4 linked regions of the Saccharomyces cerevisiae S288C genome follow. The gene in region 2 interacts genetically with the main gene of each other region. Each region holds a gene or a part of one and is shown on either strand. Other genes may lie near its edges.

What was found.
Region 1: of COQ8 (region 2) and COQ10, extra expression of one rescues a mutant of the other (dosage rescue), as found in Saccharomyces cerevisiae (4 studies listed by BioGRID, with this or other methods).
Region 3: of COQ8 (region 2) and CBS2, extra expression of one rescues a mutant of the other (dosage rescue), as found in Saccharomyces cerevisiae (one study listed by BioGRID).
Region 4: of COQ8 (region 2) and COQ11, changing one suppresses a phenotype caused by changing the other (phenotypic suppression), as found in Saccharomyces cerevisiae (one study listed by BioGRID).

What each region holds. Positions count from the first base shown.
Region 1 is NC_001147.6:307,435-311,927, reverse strand, and holds COQ10 (ubiquinone-binding protein COQ10), read right to left. Parts: upstream 1,617-4,493; coding exon 993-1,616; downstream 1-992. Other genes in the region: CSI2 (Csi2p), read left to right, coding at 1-586; ERMES complex subunit MDM12, read left to right, coding at 1,789-2,604; RCL1 (rRNA-processing endoribonuclease), read right to left, coding at 2,887-3,990. UniProt on the Saccharomyces cerevisiae protein: Required for the function of coenzyme Q in the respiratory chain. May serve as a chaperone or may be involved in the transport of Q6 from its site of synthesis to the catalytic sites of the respiratory complexes.
Region 2 is NC_001139.9:281,810-287,559, forward strand, and holds COQ8 (protein kinase COQ8), read left to right. Parts: upstream 1-2,632; coding exon 2,633-4,138; downstream 4,139-5,750. Other genes in the region: DEAH-box ATP-dependent RNA helicase PRP43, read right to left, coding at 1-2,128. UniProt on the Saccharomyces cerevisiae protein: Atypical kinase involved in the biosynthesis of coenzyme Q, also named ubiquinone, an essential lipid-soluble electron transporter for aerobic cellular respiration.
Region 3 is NC_001136.10:848,358-853,464, forward strand, and holds CBS2 (Cbs2p), read left to right. Parts: upstream 1-2,870; coding exon 2,871-4,040; downstream 4,041-5,107. Other genes in the region: RNA-processing protein REF2, read left to right, coding at 242-1,843; CAB5 (putative dephospho-CoA kinase), read right to left, coding at 1,917-2,642; RKM2 (protein-lysine N-methyltransferase), read right to left, coding at 4,176-5,107. UniProt on the Saccharomyces cerevisiae protein: Translational activator of cytochrome b. The cytochrome b (coB) leader RNA may represent the target sequence for CBS1 and/ or CBS2.
Region 4 is NC_001144.5:715,654-720,753, forward strand, and holds COQ11 (ubiquinone biosynthesis protein COQ11), read right to left. Parts: upstream 2,326-5,100; coding exon 1,492-2,325; downstream 1-1,491. Other genes in the region: GTPase GUF1, read left to right, coding at 1-1,373; GCD7 (translation initiation factor eIF2B subunit beta), read right to left, coding at 2,664-3,809; Sec63 complex subunit SEC72, read right to left, coding at 4,136-4,717. UniProt on the Saccharomyces cerevisiae protein: Component of MIOREX complexes, large expressome-like assemblies of ribosomes with factors involved in all the steps of post-transcriptional gene expression. Component of a multi-subunit COQ enzyme complex required for coenzyme Q biosynthesis.

The sequences.
Region 1 (4,493 bases), on a different chromosome or scaffold from region 2:
ATCACTGACGGGTGCATGGATTGCATTGAATATAAAGTCATGGCGAAGTGCTAGAAAGGAAAATAAGCTGAGAAATCTAGAAAATCAATACCAACACGATCCTTTCTACTTCCAAACAAACATTAATGACGACGAAAGTGAAACATCTTCCCATTCTGACGACAGTGACATATCAGAAAAAGTTCTGAAAAATAACTCATCTCGTATGAGTTTGTATACTCTAGGATCCACTTCTGTTTTGAATCTTTTGAACAATAAAACAGATGCCAACGATAACTTCAGATCATCTATGTTTATTTCACCCACCGAAATTCTGCAATCTGATGCCAACAACTCTAATACATGGTCTCAAAGCAATGAGAGTGCTATATATGATTCCTTGTCCAGTACTCCAAGGGAACCTGGTGCTACCCAAATACTGGGAAAGTTTACAGACAGCACTAATCCATTCAATTATACATCATACAATTTAAGTCCCGACTCTGAAGACCGCTCTACTCCAAAATCAAATGTTAGTCAGGGTAAAGTAAAGAAGTACCGTCCTCCCAGTGTTCATCTGGATCAACTGCTCGACGGTAAGGAATAATTGCGTCCCCACCTTTCTACACCTCATTTACACTAAGTGCGACTCGAAAACCTAATACTTCAATTAATGAGAGGATACGTGTAAATTCCTCGCCATCACCATGCGCTGTTTTTAGTACACCATTCTTTTTTCGCATACAGATACAAGCACTAAACTGATCGTACTTTGCCAATGAATAAAATGGTGCATCTGCGTATCAACTTGTTGATTGCGACGGAAGACCAGGAAATTTTGCAGCAAAATATATTTGTTTGTATCCTCCGCCCCTACTGGAGCTTGTTAGAAAGCTTAAATACTATAAACATAACTATACAGAAAAATCTTGTTCTATAGTCTAAAAATTTAACCATGCATACGCTTATCCTGGATGGCATGATCTTTGTTATCTGAAATTATACGGAAGATATCACGGAGAGCCTTCTTTAGAAGAAGGTTTTAGCATTGCTAATCTTACTAAATGGTATGCTCTTTTGGCAAATGCGTTCATCACCAATTCAGTCACAGTTTTCGCAAATATTAGAGAGACACTGTTATATATCCGAGATTTGAATTTAAATCTTAATAGAAGTTCTACCATGGCCGCATTTGGTCTATTTGGGTGAGGCATTATGGTCCATTTCGAAATCAAAAGGTGAAACAAATTATGAGATATTGTTTCTGCAACAACGGTATACGTATGATCAGTATCTTTACAGGTAACATTGCATATAAATTCCTCATCGTATTGTTTGAAACCAACTCGAAGCCCCGCAATGAGAGGCTTGTTATCCACAGGATTTCGTTTATCTACAAACGAATCAACACAATAAGGAATAAATTCCTTATATTGGGCAACTTCTGACACTGCAGCGTAGACTGTGCTTGGAGGGGCGTTTATGGCCTTGCGCAAAACATATCGCTGTTCCCTAATAGTGTGATTGGTACCGCTCAAACCAAAAAAATTTCTTTTAAGAGGATATCTCCCAATTGGCTTGAGCATCGCTTTCCTGAATAATATCAATGTCTGTGAGGGCCTTATTATCAAAACCATTCTCCACGGTATCTTTAGCCGTTTATTGTTTGGCTCCTTATCCTATTATTCGTTTTAAATAGTTCAGGTTTTTCAGACAACTCGATCTTTAAATTTTTCTCTAACATGAGAAAAAGCATGCCATCCTATGTAACGGTTGAAACAGATCATAAGCTGGCTTCAACTAATCCAAATGTCTTTTGATATTAATTGGAGTACATTGGAATCTGACAATAGACTGAATGATCTTATAAGAAAACATTTAAATTCATATTTACAAAATACGCAACTACCAAGCTACGTAAGTAATCTTAGGGTACTAGATTTTGATCTGGGAAAAGTTGGTCCTGCTATAACACTGAAAGAAATAACAGATCCCCTAGATGAGTTTTATGATTCAATTAGAGAGGAGGCTGATCAAGAGACGGAGGAAAATAATGACAACAAGGAGGACAGCGAACATATTTGTCCTGATCGTACTATAGCTAATCATGAAGGACCTAAAGATGATTTTGAGGCGCCTGTGGTGATGCCATCCCCCAACGATATACAATTTTTACTAGAGGTCGAGTACAAGGGTGACTTACTCGTTACGATTGGTGCCGACCTTGTGCTGAATTATCCCGTAGAAAAATTTATGACTTTGCCAGTAAAACTTTCTATCAGTGATATCGGTCTCCATTCCCTTTGCATTGTTGCATGTTTATCAAAGCAACTATTTCTTAGCTTTCTGTGTGATGTTAGTGATCCTGCACTGGATGACAACCAAACTGTTTTAGATCCTAAGGGGCCAATTCTGGCAGCTACTAAGCCATTGGAGCGAATATCCATTGTGAGAAGTATGAAGATTGAAACCGAAATAGGGGAACAATATCAGGGACAGGGCTCAGTATTAAGAAGTGTTGGAGAACTAGAACAGTTTTTGTTTACGATATTCAAAGATTTTTTAAGAAAGGAGTTAGCATGGCCAAGTTGGATTAATCTGGATTTCAACGATGGTGATGAGTAATTTAACAAAGATAGTTTGAAAATAGTGTCTACATAAAAAAACAAACATTTTTGAGCTGGAAAATTATATTTTGTCATGAAGTAATCTATTCTTAACGCGCTTTTCGCATACGCTCTTTGATGATATTTTAGATGACCCAAAAGAGTTAAAGGAAATCATCAATGATCCTCCAGTAATCTTATACTCTAGACAGTTGTCCGTGAAGTTACACCTAAATAATCATATATATATATATAACTTATATACAGTGGTCTAATATCTATTGAATAATATTAGAACATGCTATGCAATCTTTTTGCTTGTGTTTGTGAAACCAATACCCTTGATAGTAGCTATCATGTCTTCATTATCCGCCTCGTCAACTGGTTTTAAAAAGACTTCAGTATTAAAGATCTTCTTAATATCTCTCAAGAGGATTATGAATCTTTCGTCTATCTGTTCCTTATTAATTCTCAATCTGCCGATATCTTCTTTCCCGATGACCATGTAAACAATTGCTAATGGAAGCTGGTTTCTACCAACTGCTGCACTCTTTGATATTTCTTCTAATAATTGACAGGCAACTTTTTCACCAAGTTCTTCAGGTATAGAACCTGCATCACCGATATCTTCTGCAAAATAACTCCAACCTTTCTGCTTGGACTGAGCAACCAAAGTAATACCCCAGCCTGGACTCTTCCCTGAATTTTCACCTCTCCAGACATCTGCCGTTATGTTAACTTCGCATTGCAGATTTTTCAATACCTTCTTAGCACCATCGATCATTCTATTCACAAGCGACGGACTTACTCTGGTAGAGTATGCTACACCGGTAATCGATGAAATTATGGGCCTATCTATTTCATGCATAGTTATAGGTTGCGCAATCAAAGAATCAACAACCAAATGCACTTCGCCACCTCCTAGTGGTGGTGAACCTCTTTTCAAAGTATGTAGGGCGCACTCTCTAACGCCAAATTTTTCCATAACGGGCATGAGTCCCCATTTGATAGCTTCAATACCGGCATCGTTGTGAGATGCAGTTATGCCTTTGAATAATATAGAAAATTTCTTTTTTGAAAATGGAGCCAAATATAGCATTGGTTCGACGAAATAACCTACCGGTTTGGAACTAGGGCAGATATGAGTTGATGCACCACCAACTATGATACCGGGCCTATAAATCACAGTAGTACCGGTATAAGAAATTTCAATTACACTCCCGTTGGTGACCGACTCGATCAGCCTTAGAAAAGACACTTCATAATCTTTCAGACCGGGATTTAAGTCGCCTGAACGGATTTTTTCAATTTTTATTGGTTTCCCTGATAATGTTGCCAAGACGATCCGTAACCTAAAATTTTGTGACCCTTGGAAAGTGGTGTATTTGGGGGCGGAAGATGACATTGCTATACTTTTGGAGGATTATCCTAGTGGAAAAGTGTTGACAATGGTGAAGCTTGACAGATGTTATACCCTTACAACATACGTAGCTTATGAAGGCTCATCTCATCGGCACTTTTTTGCAAATTTTTCTGAAATTTTTTCAATCTCGAGTCCGTGAAAAATTACATTACCAATATGGCGAGGGTAATTCTGACATCCTCCTTCAAAGTAAGTGCAAGTAATAAAAGCAACTTGACTACCCATTTAAAGTATTAATACGCTTTGCGCGGGGTTATAATTATAAAGTTATATCTTTTAAAGAAGAGGTCTGCTATATATAGACCTCCGATGTCATTAGTGAAGTTCCTTAAACATGGTCTTGCCCGAAAGGGATGATACTTCAATGCAAAGGGGAAATGCTCATTTTCTTTTTTTATTTTAGTTTTTTAGTGATTTTGCTAGTCTTTCAGCTTTATGTTTCGTTATTTTATAGTGTAGTTCTTTGATTTTTATTGCCTCATTTT
Region 2 (5,750 bases):
CAGTTCTTATGTAGTTCTTCGATGTGAGCACAAATTCATTGTAAATGACCCATTCTGCGTCGTGGCCAAGAACCGTACTAGGATGGATCAGAACATCTTGGTTATCTTTAACTGTGATGTATCCTTTAGCTCCCGATCTTTTTTTTGCTACTTGCATGAAAAACCCAGACGCAAGAGCCTTTCTGATGTTGTCAAAGTATTTAGGGCTTTCATAGTCTGTAGTGTTTAATTCTAGGTTGTAACGGTTCATTAATCTTTCTAATTGGGAGCGGATATTATCAGCAGCGGAAAGGGACCTGTAATTTAGATAGTGGTCACGGCACCACTTATGGATACCATATTCATAAGCTTCATCCGATTTGAACGCATGATATACATTTAGTAAGGTGATATGATCACCGTCTGGATGAGCAAAGATATTCTTGGCATCATCTGCTCGCTTCTTGTCCTTTGTTGGGCGAATAAACACGTTTGGAACCGATAGCATGGCCACTATAGTTAGTATTTCTTGAGAACATTGGAACTCAAAGGACCCAATTAACATCACCGCTAGCATAGGATCCAAGGGAAACTGGGATGCCAATCTACCTAGGGGTGTTAAGTTACCTTCGTCGTCCAGACATGCCAAATAATTTAGTTCTTCAAGGGCTCTCATCATTGTTTCCGGAGCCGGTGGATCCATAAAATCGAAATGGACCAAGTCATCAATACCTAATTTTTTTAGTTCTAGAACGGTGGAGGATAAATTGGAACGTAAAATTTCTGGGTAACTTTGCTCTATCAGTTCCTTTTGGAATGCCTCTTCAGTGTATAATCTGAAACATTTACCAGGCCTTGTACGACCAGCACGACCAGCTCTTTGTTGGGCAGAAGCCTTGGAGATAGGGGAAACAAGTAAAGACTCAACTCTAATTCTTGGATTGTAAACTTTTTGCTTTGAAAATCCTGGGTCAACGACGTAGACAATACCATCAATTGTTAAAGAAGTTTCAGCGATGTTCGTGGAGATAACAACTTTCCTGCCTGGTCTACCATTATGTGACTCTGGAGCAGGCTCGAATATTCTTTGTTGTTGATGCGGTGGTAATGAACCATACAGTGGGTATACGGATAAAGGTCCGCATCCCTCTTCTCTAACCAATTGATCACCTTCTAAGGAAATCTTTCTGACAGCGTCTTCAATTTCATCTTCACCAGTTAAAAATAACAAAATATCGCCAGCCTCTTCAGTGGCATGAATTTGCAAAACAGTACGAATGGCAGAATCTAAATAGTCCCTTTGAAATTCCGGTGTATAGTATAGCTCAACTGGATATGTTCTGCCCGGAACGGCAAGTAATGGAGCATCGTTGAAGTAGCGTTGGAACTTCTCTGCATCCAGAGTAGCAGACATAATAATTATCTTCAAATCAGGTCTCCTCTTGACTACTTGCTTCAAAAGACCCATCAAAATATCAGTAGCTAGTGTACGTTCGTGCGCTTCATCCAGAATGATACATGAATAACGCGACAAGTCATGGTCTTCCATTGCCTCTCTCAACAACATACCATCAGTCATATACTTCAATATCGTTTTATTAGAAGTTTTATTTTCGAATCTGATAGAATAACCAACTTCTTCGCCCAACTTGACATCCATTTCCTCAGCAACTCTCTGTGCAACAGACATTGCTGCGACACGACGAGGTTGAGTACATGCAACTTGAGTGTTCTCTAAGTGTGGCATCTCATCGAATAAAACGAATTGAGGAATTTGTGTCGTTTTACCGGAACCTGTTTCACCAACAAAAACCATAATCTGGTTATTTTGATAAAGTTTTAAAAACTCATCTCTCTGGGCATGTACTGGCAATTCTCTTCTAATTTTCAGGATATCAACATATTTTGGTGTAAACTCCCTACCGGTAAATGGATTTATTTTTCCATCTTCAAGTTTTTGGGCCTCTTCTGCTGAAGTATGGTGACGTTGCAAGCCCTTGAATTCACCAGCATCATGATGGACAAGTGGCTCTTCGGATGGAAGAGGATGCTGTTTGGATAATTCTTCCGCAATCTCGGCGGCCTGCTCAGGAATAGAGGTCTCAACTGGATCCGGGTGTTCGGACGAGAATCTTCTTTTGGAACCCATTATTATTCTTGCAGTCCTAATCTTTCTATGCGCGTTTATAAGGTTATACTATCGTTACTCAATCGCATCCCCGTAAACGTGTTAAATATTACAATTGAATAAGTTTCTTTTCACCTCATCTCGCATTTGAAAATTTTTCAGAGGCACCGAAAAAAAAGAAAAAGAAATAAAAAAGGACTTGTGTATAAGATCGCTAGATCAATAAAAAGCAATCTGGTAGATTTATGGGACTCCGAAATGATACTGTCAGTTGAAACAGCAAACGAATACAGAGCGTAAAACTAAACGACCTTAGTTTGGAAAATGATGAAATTTGTCCATAACTATATACTATCAGTCAGCAAACTATGATCCGGGTAATATTCATTTGTAAAGCTTTAGATCTGTAATAGTACCCAGTACTTTTTTAGATGATCTTAATTAGTTAAGATCTTTCTGGTACTGTACTCAGTACGCTTCCTTGGCATCCTTATTGGGACCTGTTCGGCTAAGATATCGTTCGATATGGTTACAAATATGGTGAAATTGAGGAATTTAAGGAGATTGTATTGTTCATCCCGTCTCTTAAGAACTATACAGAACGGGAGAATTTCTTCTGTTTCTTCAATATCGTTGAGTAAGAAATATACTACAAAATCTGCCAAAGAAGGTGAAGAAAACGTAGAAAGGAAGCATGAGGAGGAAAAAAAGGATACATTAAAAAGTTCCAGTGTACCAACTTCACGAATATCGAGATTGTTCCATTATGGCTCACTGGCAGCAGGGGTGGGCATGAATGCCGCAGCAAAAGGCATATCGGAAGTTGCAAAGGGCAATTCTCCCACTTGGAAATCTTTGATTCTATCAGATTCGAATATTGACAGAATTACCAATAAATTTTCTAAAATGAGAGGTGTTGCCCTTAAAATAGGGCAACTATTGTCTTTTCAGGATGAGAAAGTGTTGCCAAAGGAATTATACGAAATTTTATCAAGGGTACAGAATAGTGCAAATCATATGCCTCAAAGGCAATTGGAAAAGGTTATGGCCAAGGAATTAGGTGCTAATTGGAAGACAAAGTTTTCCAAATTTGACAAGATACCTATGGCAGCTGCTAGTATCGGACAGGTACATGCGGCAGAGTTGCCCAGTGGTCAAAGAGTGGTTGTCAAAATTCAATATCCTGGGGTTAAAGAATCCATTGATTCGGATTTGAATAGTTTACTAATGTTACTTACAGCCTCAAGTTTATTACCGAAGGGATTATTTTTGGATAAGACAATTGCCAACGCTAGAACTGAGTTAAAATGGGAATGTGATTACAACAGAGAGGCTAGAGCTCTACAAAAGTTTGAGGCGTTGCTAAAGGATGACCCAGCGTTTGAGGTTCCTCATGTGTTTCCTGAATATACAACCGATAATATTATAACTATGACACGTATGGAGGGAACTGAAATAATGAAATTGCCCAAGGCATCACAAGAAACCAAAAATTTTATTTCGGAGAATATCATGAGACTATGTCTGGAAGAAATTGCCACTTTCAAGTATATGCAAACGGATCCTAATTGGGCAAATTTCCTCTATAACGGTAGGACAAAGAAAATTGAATTATTGGATTTCGGTGCCTCCAGACCTTTTGCAGAAGATTTTATTCTAAAATATAGAAAACTTTTAACTTACGCCACATTGAGAGATAGGAAAGGGGCGTACGAAATGTCTGTACAACTGGGCTATCTCACAGGCTTAGAATCGCAGTCCATGAAAGACGCGCACGTCGATAGTGTACTTACACTTGGTGAACCTTTTAGGGGTGATGTAGATAAATCTTTCGATTTCAAGGATCAAACAGTCTCAGACAGGATTAGAGGTAATATCGGGTTAATGTTGAATGAAAGACTATGTCCGCCACCAGAGGAAACATACTCGTTACATAGAAAATTTAGTGGCATTTTTCTTTTGTGTGCAAGAATGGGTGCGTCTGTTCATTGTGCAAAGCTTTTTAAAGAGATTTTTGCCTATAAAGTTTAAAATACTTCCCCGCTATTTGTATATATGCATATCTTTATATTATGAAAGATATTTTTTTATTTACTTTTAGTCCGTATACTTTTATTTTGTTTTGTTAGACAATCTCGAAGAACAAAAAAAAAAGATAAAACAGAAAGATAAATGTGCACTCTTTTGTACCTCGTTCTGCTATAGTACTTCCAACCAGATCGACTGAAAGATTACTAGTATATACGTCATGTTTTTAAATAGTAGTTCCCATTCTGCTTCAGTGAATTAGATATTTTTTTCCAATCATTCTCTTTAAACCCTCTGCGATAGTGATCCAACATTTTCTTAGCAACGCTAATCCTTCTGCCAATAGCTTCTCAAAATATACACCATTAACTTTACAACATTACATAATATGACATTCCACAGAACCTCTCTATTCCATTTTACCCCATTTCAAATTACTTTTTAGTCTTTGAATTGGGTCGCTTCCTAATTATAGAATTATTTTTCTCTGTAAAGTCCCAGCCTTGTTACAATACAATTGTACATCATTCATGAGAGATGAATATAATCTGCATTTCTTGTTCTAAATTGAATATGTATCTTTGAAAATACTCTGTATGCAGGCAACTTCTTTACCAATATTTACTTTATGAAACACGCCAGCTTTAAGACAATACCTTCGGGTCAGAAATATAGTTTAGTTTGTTAACTACAGCAGTTTCTTACAGAAAATTTTGAACTTCGACATTAGTGCATTTATCTCAGGATATAATGATCCCGTTATCCAATCGATATAGCTTCCTCAGGTTTCCATTCAGTCATAAATGTTAAATTAACGTTGTGCCTAGGGGGCAGATAAGCCTATGACATTGTTTCGTGCTCATCAAAACACTAATGTAATGGATGGCAACTGTTGCACCTATTCAGGCTGCAAAAAAAGAAGTATCATTTAAATCAAAAGGAATATGAACTGATATAAAAAGAACATATTCATACGGGCGAATTTGGCTAGTAACCATTACGAGATAGGATAGAATATACGTATGAGATTAGAATAATTAACATAAAATATGATAATATCGCTTTGCATTGCAATTAGCATACGTAACCTCACACAAATTTTATACTAATTGTCTAGGCATTTCATACAAGAATAACATTAGCGATCATTAGATCAGCTAAAGTTCTACATAAATGCTGCTGAACATAATAACATAGGTCCGCTTAGCAATATCAAGACATTATTACCGCTGTCAACATTTCTTGTCCGTCAGTGGACTTACAAGAATTGAACCGAAAAAAAAAAGAATAGAAAAGGTACAATAAAAAGCAATCGGTAAACGCGACAGCAGAGACGCCCCTGCACATTTAGTACACCGTTTCCTTCATTTAACCATCCTTAAATTATCACTTGCAGTATAAAAAATGAAACGGACAGGAATTGAACCTGCAACCCTTCGATTGCAATCTTATTCCGTGGAATTTCCAAGATTTAATTGGAGTCGAAAGCTCTACCATTGAGCCACCGCTTCATCTTGAAATATCCAAGAATTAAATTCTTACTTGTCTCCCCGAAAGCTGTATCTTTAAAACGGCTCCTAGTTATCGTCAGTTTTGATAATTAGTAACTAGAATA
Region 3 (5,107 bases), on a different chromosome or scaffold from region 2:
ACAAGCATAACTCTTTTGTACTGTATTGTACTCTACCGCTCTGTATCACGTCGGCACACCAACGGTTTCTTTTGGCGGGTCTATTATATATATTATATATACTTTTATCAAGACATCGTGTGAGTAAGTGAGGTTAAAGCTCAAAAACCTACAAGCAAAGGCACAAGGAAATCGAAAGGACCAAGAAAGGAAAAGAAAAGAAACGATACGATAAGTAAAGACACTGTGGAAGAATTGAACAATGTCAGCACCTGTTCCTCAATTAGTAAATATTTCTCATGCCTTGCAAGCTTCCACTATCCAGCAAATTCGTTTGGATATGGTAGATTTTAATAAAGATTGCAAATTATCTTCCATTCAACTGGCAAGAATTGACAAGTATATCGATTCTTTGCAAGCGGCTTTGAATCAGTTTACCAAAGATAACTTGCACATAGAACGGAAGGAAAAGAACGTGACTGAAGCAGATATACAGCTGTATTCTGGCTTAAAATCAATGTATCTAGATTATTTGAACCAGCTAATTAAACTAAAGCATGAGAAACAACACCACTCTACACCGCCCATCGCTAATGATGTCTCCCTGGACTTCTTCGTTAACCAATTGCCTAAGTTTTCTCCCGAGGAAAGGAAAAATTACATTGACAATTTAATCCTGAATAAAAATAGCCATAATCGATTATCTAAAATGGATGGTCTGGTAGATGCAGTCATCAATTTATGCGTCTTGGATACTTCCGTTGCTGAAAATGTACGATCCTATATGAAATTATTAGATACATTGGGTTTCCAAAAGGGTTCGAATAGTACTGGTACAAAGGCCAACCTCAAAAAGAAATTGGCTAGTTCGAAAGCAAAGATAAAGGATTCAGAAAAAGAAAAGGAGAAGGAGAAGGATAAATCAAAAGTCAAGATGAAAACTAAATTAAAACCTTCTCCTTTGCTCAATAACGATGACAAAAATTCTTCTCCATCGCCTACTGCATCTACCTCTTCAATGAAGAAATTGAAGTCGGGTTTATTCAATAAAAATGAAGCTAAGTCTACAGAATCTCTACCTACTTCTTCCAAGAAAAAACTATCATTTTCTAAATATCTGAACAAGGATGACGCAGATATGACCAAGCTTGGGACTAAACGGTCAATAGATGTGGATTTCAAAGTCAACCCCGAAGCATCCACGGTGGCTTCTAATATCATATCTTCGTCAACGTCAGGATCGTCAACCACAACGGTAGCGACTCCTGCTTCTTCAGAAGAGCCCTTAAAAAAAAAAACCAAAATATCCGTGCAAGACTCTAATGTACAATCGATTTTGAGAAATGGTAAACCGAAAAAAGCACGCATAAGTAGCATCAAATTTTTGGATGATTCCCAACTAATAAAAGTTTACGGTGACGATCTACCGAACCAAGGGCTACAAGTTTCTCCTACTCAATTGAAAAAAATTCTGAAACCATTCAAGGAGGGGGAACCGAAGGAAATTATATTGTTCGAGGATATGTCAATCAAATTAAAACCTCTTGATTTGATGTTTCTGAAGAACACAAACAGTGATGACTATATGGATATATCCGAGACTAAAGGTGGCCCAATACATTGTGAAACAAGGACCCCGTTGATCTATAGAAAAAATTTCAATCATTTCAACCCGGACTTGAATAAAAGGCCGCCAAGAGAACCCATAGAATTCGACTTAAATGGAAATACGAACTCAACCCCGACTATAGCAAAGGCTTTCGGTAAAAATAGTTTATTACTAAGGAAGGACAGAGGTGGTTTGCCATACAAGCATGTCCCCATAGTAAAAAGAAATAAATATCCTCCAAGACCAGTACACTAAGCTATGACATGCTGATACATAAACATGTAGTATATATACTCATTTTATATAATGTAATTATAAGATATCAACCTTATACCGCTGAAGACTTTTTATTTTGAAGTTTTTTCATCAGTAATCTGGACATGACGATGCTACTGGCACTTACGGCCCCAAAAGGTGGGAAATACTCCAAAACAGTTCTTAATTTACTAGGTTGGATTTTTTTTACAACACTTTCAATCTGTTCGTATAAGTCAACCAATGTGCTGTTATTTTGTAGGATATAGTCAGATCTTGCCATCCTTTCTTCAGTGCTCATTTGACTATTTAGCCTGTTTTTTGCATCTTCTTCACTAAGTTCAGGATTTCTTGTCATTAATCTTTCTAGTTGCAATTCTTGCGTACAAATTACGCTTACAGTCACTCCGCATATTGAATCCAGATTTCCTTCAAATAAGAGTGGCACATCCAATACACACATTCTATATCCCTTCAAGTAATAGTAGCCAATTTCTTTGAACATTGCATACCTGATTGCAGGATGTGTTATCCCATTCAAGGCTTGCAAATCTTCTTTATGACTAAAAACCCATTTCCCTAGGGCTTCACGATTTAAATGCCCATCCTCCAATAATAAATTCGGTATTTTGTCCTTGAAGTATAACACAATTTGATCATAAGCATTCTGTCCTGGTTCGACCACTTGTCTAGCAATCTTGTCCGCATCAACAATGGGTAGTTTGTATTTGTCTCTGAGTCTTCTCGACACTGTGCTCTTACCACAAGCGATCCCACCTGTCAATCCCACTACCAGCATATTTTAATTGTGGCTATCTGACAACTTTCACTGAGCTTTTAATTTGGACCGTTATTATTGTGCCATGTATTCTCCCCATCCCCATTCTAGGTAAAACAAGGGTAAGAACAAAAATTTAAAAAAAAAAAAATAGAAAAAACCTTTGCATATATTTGGGTCTGCCTAATTCATCTAAAGCATATTTCAATTACAACCACGCAAAGGATTAAAAAAATCCAGAATACGATAATGTCAAGCTCAATACCTAGAGTTTACTCTCTAGGGAACTCAGCCATGACGTACTTACTAGCATTGAGAATTGCACAACTCCCGAGTCAACCAAAGGTTCCATCAGTTGTTCTTCTTTTAAACGACCAGAAGAAACTGAATAGATTCCTCAATAATGACTCTAAAATTATTGTTAAATCGAGTAACAACAATAAAGAAACTTATCATAGACAGTTTATGGCATCTTGTGTCCCGCCCATTCTAAGCAATGGTGAAATTGCACCAATTGAAAATTTAATTGTCTCAGATCCCTCTTCGAAATTTATCACTGCCCAACTTTCTAAATACAATAAATCTTTGAGACCCGAAACCAACATTCTGTTTTTGAATCCAAGCTTAAATCTATTGGAACATTTGCATAGATATCGATGGCGCTTTGATGAGGCAAGACCAAACTTGTTCATGGGCTTTACAACACCAGTTGACGTTGGGACCATACATCAAGAATTTCAACTGTCTCTCAAAGTGAAAGGAAGGATACAATTTCATATTGCAAAGATTGATGGTTTTCCTCGAATGAGTAGTACTGGTAAAAGTGCGAGTCTTTCTCTAAGAGGTGACAGGCAGAAAAATGAAAAAGAAAATAATGCGTTTTATAAGTTGTTTAGAGAAATTTCCAGGCTACGATCTGGAATAGGTTCCGATCTAGTTAGTTTTGATCTGCATGTTCATGGTTTCCAGGATTTGTTCTTCACTGAACTGGAGAAATTGATATTGGAGAGTTGTACCGAGCCATTATTGGCAGTATATGATTGCGTATATAAAAAGGAACTTTTGAAAATCCCCGGAGCACAAGATATAATAAAAAAGTTGATTAGTGAGCAGCTGTCAATTATCGATCGATCCTACCCGTCACTAAACACCAACCCAAACTATTCTGTAATCTTTGACAAGGAGAGAATATTTAGCTTGGTGATGAGAGATCTAGAAGTTAATGGGCACAAGCGCGCTAAGTTGGCCCAATCTTTAAATCAATTGAATCAAACGAACATTAATGAACTTAACGGATTTTTTGTTTCTCTTGGTAAGTACAAAAAATGTAACTGCAAGTGGAATGATATACTTCTGACTTTAATAAAAGGGAAACAGTTTATTACTAAGCAAAAAGCACTAGATTATCATTACCTGTGAAGAAATTTCATGTATATACAATAGATATTCCTAAATTTTCATATATGAATGGCTGCTGCGCACATGTACTTGCGAAGAGAAGCATGGGCACTGGCACTTCCGAATTTAAAGTTATTTCTTGGACTTTACAAATACCTATGATTGCAGGTCTTGTAAGTGTTGTGTAAGTATTTTTATATACCCTTTGTATATGGTAATTAAGTTTTGTAAGCAGAGGTTATTCTCAAGATTAGATACTTTTTCTGTCAACTCGCTAAGCGTCTTTGTATATTTTGCAGTTAAGGAGACCAATAATTCTTTTAAAACTGAAGAGATTTTTGGCTTGAAGTAATCTTCTGATATGTAACCTTCAATGAATTTTCGAACCCTCCTTTCATCCCTCGTCACATAATAGTTCAATGCTACGAATATCCTATAACTGATATCAGTCTCATTGATAGTGTAATCTCCCCAATAATCATGTTCCAATAGAAACGTTTTTACCTCCTTTTTGTCGTCGTCTATTAGTTCAATAATTTCGTCAGATATGTCTAAGTAGTTCCATTTGTTTCCGTCTACCACAAATCCATACTCGTTCAGTAAAAAATCATTTGAGTGTGCACCATAATTCAAAAAGAGCTCCTCGTTAATGTTGTCATAGAGGTGATCGCCGCATCTAATGGTAAATTGTCCAATTCCAATGATGTTTTCTCCTTCTGACCTCAACTGAGGACTTAACTGAGGATAGCAGTGCAAATCCGACTCACAAATGTGGTTCATGAAATCGACATACGGCACTAAAGTGAAATTGCTTGGGGAGTCCTCTATTTTCAACGGAATCTTCGCATAAAGACATCTTGAGTTTATAATAAAATAAACATGTACAAAAAGGGAGAATAACTCATCACTAGTAAATTTATCAGAATTTTTCGTACAGCTTAAGGAGCCGTAAATTTCATTCCATTTCAAAACCACCTCTGAAATGGTTTCCCAATCTTCTCTGACAAGGCCACTAATTCTTGCCATATGCTTTCGTGAGGCAGCAGGGAGATATTCAATCAGTGAATGGTAACGTGAATTGGGATCAC
Region 4 (5,100 bases), on a different chromosome or scaffold from region 2:
AGATAGTGAATAACTTTGAGCTCCCCGAGGAAGATATAATCGGAGTAAGTGCTAAAACAGGATTAAATGTAGAGGAACTGTTACTACCGGCTATAATTGATCGTATACCACCACCAACGGGGAGGCCTGATAAACCCTTCAGAGCATTATTAGTGGATTCTTGGTACGACGCATACTTAGGAGCGGTTCTTCTAGTGAATATTGTTGATGGTTCTGTACGTAAAAATGACAAGGTTATTTGTGCTCAGACAAAAGAAAAATACGAAGTCAAAGATATTGGAATCATGTATCCTGACAGAACCTCTACAGGTACGCTAAAGACAGGACAGGTTGGCTATCTAGTGCTGGGAATGAAGGATTCTAAAGAAGCAAAAATTGGAGATACTATAATGCATTTAAGTAAAGTAAATGAAACGGAAGTACTTCCCGGATTTGAAGAACAAAAACCCATGGTATTTGTGGGTGCTTTCCCGGCTGATGGGATTGAATTCAAAGCCATGGATGATGATATGAGTAGACTTGTCCTCAACGATAGGTCAGTTACTTTGGAACGTGAGACCTCCAATGCTTTGGGTCAAGGTTGGAGATTGGGCTTTTTAGGATCTTTACATGCATCTGTTTTTCGTGAACGACTAGAAAAAGAGTATGGTTCGAAATTGATCATTACTCAACCCACAGTTCCTTATTTGGTGGAGTTTACCGATGGTAAGAAAAAGCTTATAACAAATCCGGATGAGTTTCCAGACGGAGCAACAAAGAGGGTGAACGTTGCTGCTTTCCATGAACCGTTTATAGAGGCAGTTATGACATTGCCCCAGGAATATTTAGGTAGTGTCATACGCTTATGCGATAGTAATAGAGGAGAACAAATTGATATAACATACCTAAACACCAATGGACAAGTGATGTTAAAATATTACCTTCCGCTATCGCATCTAGTTGATGACTTTTTTGGTAAATTAAAATCGGTGTCCAGAGGATTTGCCTCTTTAGATTATGAGGATGCTGGCTATAGAATTTCTGATGTTGTAAAACTGCAACTCTTGGTTAATGGAAATGCGATTGATGCCTTGTCAAGAGTACTTCATAAATCGGAAGTAGAGAGAGTGGGTAGAGAATGGGTGAAGAAGTTTAAAGAGTATGTTAAATCACAATTATATGAGGTCGTTATACAGGCCCGAGCTAATAACAAGATAATAGCTAGAGAAACAATTAAGGCAAGAAGAAAAGATGTTCTCCAAAAGCTGCATGCTTCTGATGTCTCACGAAGGAAAAAACTTTTGGCGAAACAGAAAGAGGGTAAAAAGCATATGAAAACTGTAGGTAATATTCAAATCAACCAAGAGGCATATCAGGCTTTTTTGCGCCGTTAGCATTGCATATTATTGTTATTACCATTTTAAAATTATACCAAGCTGTATATAGTTAAGTACTTTTCATTTGTAAATAAAAGAGAAAAATAGATTAATAAATATAATAATGGCATAATCATTATGCTTTAAGTATTTCCTCAAGTGTAACTACCCCTTTAAAATCTGGGTTTTCGATATTTTTCAGGACGGATTTGCTTACCTGCTGAGTGGATACTGTTGGCCTAATCAAGTCGTTCAAAAGCTGCAGCTTATTTCTCAATAGAAATTTGTTACCGCAGTAAAGTAGTTCAAGTGCAGTATGAATAAAAGACCGTGGTCCAATTGCATTTCTGTGCTCATCGAACATAAAACCGGGTCTCACAATAATAGGCCTGAAATATCTCTGCATTTTTTCTAGTTCAATCTCCGCCTCTCTTTTCGAATTAATATAGCCACTAGGAATCAATGGGAAACCTTTATCGGCGGAAATATACGTAAAAGATCTTTGATTTGCTTTTTCTTGCTCCTTTTTGCTTTTCTTTAGGATTTTTTGTTTAAATGTATCTGCCAAAATAATAGCACTTTGCTTATTCATCATTTCATAAGTAAAATAAGGACTGCTTTTTTTTAAAGGATTTGGACCTGCACCAAAAGATAGAAGGCGTGATTTTGAATCATATGTAGGGGATTTGGATAGAGTTTGCTTATAATTTTCATTTTCTAGGAGGATTCCCAAAGAATGAACTACGTTAGTAGCATTATTCAATAATTCATGGTAAGAATCAGGCTTAAAAATGTCAGCAGCGGTCCATTGGACCTCCTGCATCCATTGCTTATCATTTAATTCATTGCTATGAGGAGCTTTACCGGACCTTGACACAGAAACGACTTGGTAGCCCGAAGTCACTGCTTCTTGACAAATTCTTTTACCTAAAAATCCATTGCCTCCAAAAACTATAAGCTTTGGTATCATTTTCTACTTCAGTTCAAGCTTTAGCTGTATTTTTGTATACGATACATATTTCCCTTATTTTTTTATTTTTTCAATGTTTTCCTGTTTTTCTATTATGCAAAAGCGACAAGATGGCATTACGAGGAGACACTCAACTAAAAAAAAAAAATGAGTCAAATTGCCAGACTTTGTAGAGAAGTAAAAAGTTAATGCTAAGATGCTCTTTATGTATTAGTCTTTTAACATATTCAAGGATACGTAAATATTCTGATTATATACTAATAATTAATAATAAAAAAATTGTTTTGATCTACAAGATTTTTATTTATTTTCATGAGTAATGTACAAAAGACACATCATCACGCCTTATTTTTATCCAAATGCACATCAATTTGCTTGTAATTATCCCACGCAATACGATATATAAAACTTGGATTGAACCCACCGACGTTTGTAATGTAGATATCAATATTTTCAGGCGGAACATAATCGGTAATTTGATTAACTGTATCTAATCTTTTTCTTGGATCCATTCTAGGTAATATACGTTGGGACCCACCAAATTCGACAAACTTCTCTACGTCGAACGGATATAGAGGAGAAAGCTTATACAAACCTGCAACAGCAAATACAGGGGTTCTAAATTCTCGGGCGCATTCACAAACGGATGATACACCTGAATTTGACGAGATAGTCCCCCCATTGACAAAAACGGCTTTAGTGCCGATAATAACCTTACCCACACGGGACATTAAAGCAAAAACAGCTGAGTCTGGGACTACTAGGGTTTCTATGTTGTGCTGTGCTAATTTTTTGGCAAACTCATGTGCATTCTTGGTGTTATTAGGGAACCCCTCTGTAACTAAAACCGTAAATGTTCTATTACTACGTTCGCGAGCAGTAATCAGAAATTTTAATACGGTTTTTGAATCAGGTGTGGGAGTTAATAAAATCTCATGATCGTGAATCAAATCAATAGCAATTTGCTGAATACCTTCATCAATGTTTTTTATCTCATCTATAAGATCCTTGATACCCTGAATGGCTACTTGACGGTAATCAGTCTTGGTTTTCATACTAGAGCTCCCTGAACTATTTTTTCTATTCTGATGAGGTTGCTCCGGTTTCTGTAATAAATTAAACATAGAGGAAATCAAAGGTTCAGCAACGGATGTGGATGTGACAGTTGTGCTCATAGTGTCTTCTTCTACTTCATCCCTCAAAACAGCCAGTATTCTTCTAATTACGTTACCGCAACTGAAAGCAGTAGGATGAGCTTTTTCTAGACTATTACCTAAATCTCTGATTTGTTCAATAAGGTCATTAACATGGTTCCAACGAGCTGCAGAGATAAATCGCATTAACAGTTGTAAAGTTTCCAAGGCGATGGCGTATGAACCTTGCACTTGTCTTCTTTTTAACTTAGCAACGAAAGTGTCAATGGTAACATTCACATCAGATGTTGCCGCATTCGGATGTACTGAAGTGAATGCTTGAGAGGACATCTTATGTTGGGCAAAAGTTCGAAAGTTGGCGTGTTGTGTTTACTGGTTCCGCACGAGTAATGAATGGTCTGTTTCATTTATGAAGGTTTTTTCTATGTCCATTTTTTTTTTTCAGCATCACGAAGAAAAAAAGCTTGCGGTTGGGAAGCAGAGGTATCATATACTCAAGCTGTATAGTTCAAAGCCTTTCATAAAGGCTATTCCTTAGTATATATGATAATGGGCTTGCTATGTGTTTTTGAATCTATCTAAAATTTCTTGCTATGTAGTCGTGTGTAGCATAGAGACATATCAAGAAAAGGCTAAAATATCTTCGGTTATGCACCTTATTCACCGTTATATTCGGCCAGATTTCTTGCAGTTTCTATTAAAAGGGCTCTAAGTTTCATATCCTCTGGGGCTAAAGCTAAACCTCTCTCGCATGTTGCCCTAGCCTCTTCCCACTGTCTCAATTTTAGCAAACAGTCCGCCTTCCTGACAAATACGTCTGGTTGGATAAGTCCCGTACCAAGTAAGAAATCCAAGTCTTGCAACGCCTCTAAATGCTTTCCGAGTATTAAACATAAATCTATTTTACTACGAAGCATAAAGTGTAGCTCTGGTAGCTGAATAGCAAAAGCTTCCCAAGGCGCTCTTTTTCTTTGTGCCATTTCGATTGCTAAAGAAACATTCTTCAATGCCTCATTCAATTTTTTTTGTTGTAAATTCTTCATACCACTTTCAAATAAACCCTTGATCATTTTGCTTAGAGCTTCATTCGGTTGTGGTGTAAAATTTGGGTTGGTTTCTCCAATCAAAGATGTAGTGAGAACATTTATTTGATCGATATTAGTTTCGGTAGATAGTGCAACAACAGCATCACTCGCAGTGATCAGTTTACTGTTTGCATTGTATTCAAGGGTAACCATGGTTGAATAAGCTTGCTTTGGTATGCCTTTAACGCAAGTTGAAGGAGACGTTTCTTTGATTTTAAGGCTATTGGTTTTATGTTCAAAGATATAATCTAATTGTTACGTGTGCTCCTACATCCGTTTGAAACGATCCATAAACGATCTAAAAAATATAATATTAGACAAGCCAAATACGTTTAAATATACTTAAATCACAGCATATTCACATTCAACTATTTGTTATATATTTAAATCTGTTTTATAAAAGACAGGAGTACCAGTTAGTTTGTGTTTTCTTGTTGCAATTATAAAATCTTCAAAATCATGTGGATTTTTATTGAATTTCTATATCGAGATGAATGTAAATATGTATACAGTTTAGGGTAGGGAAAAAAGAAAGC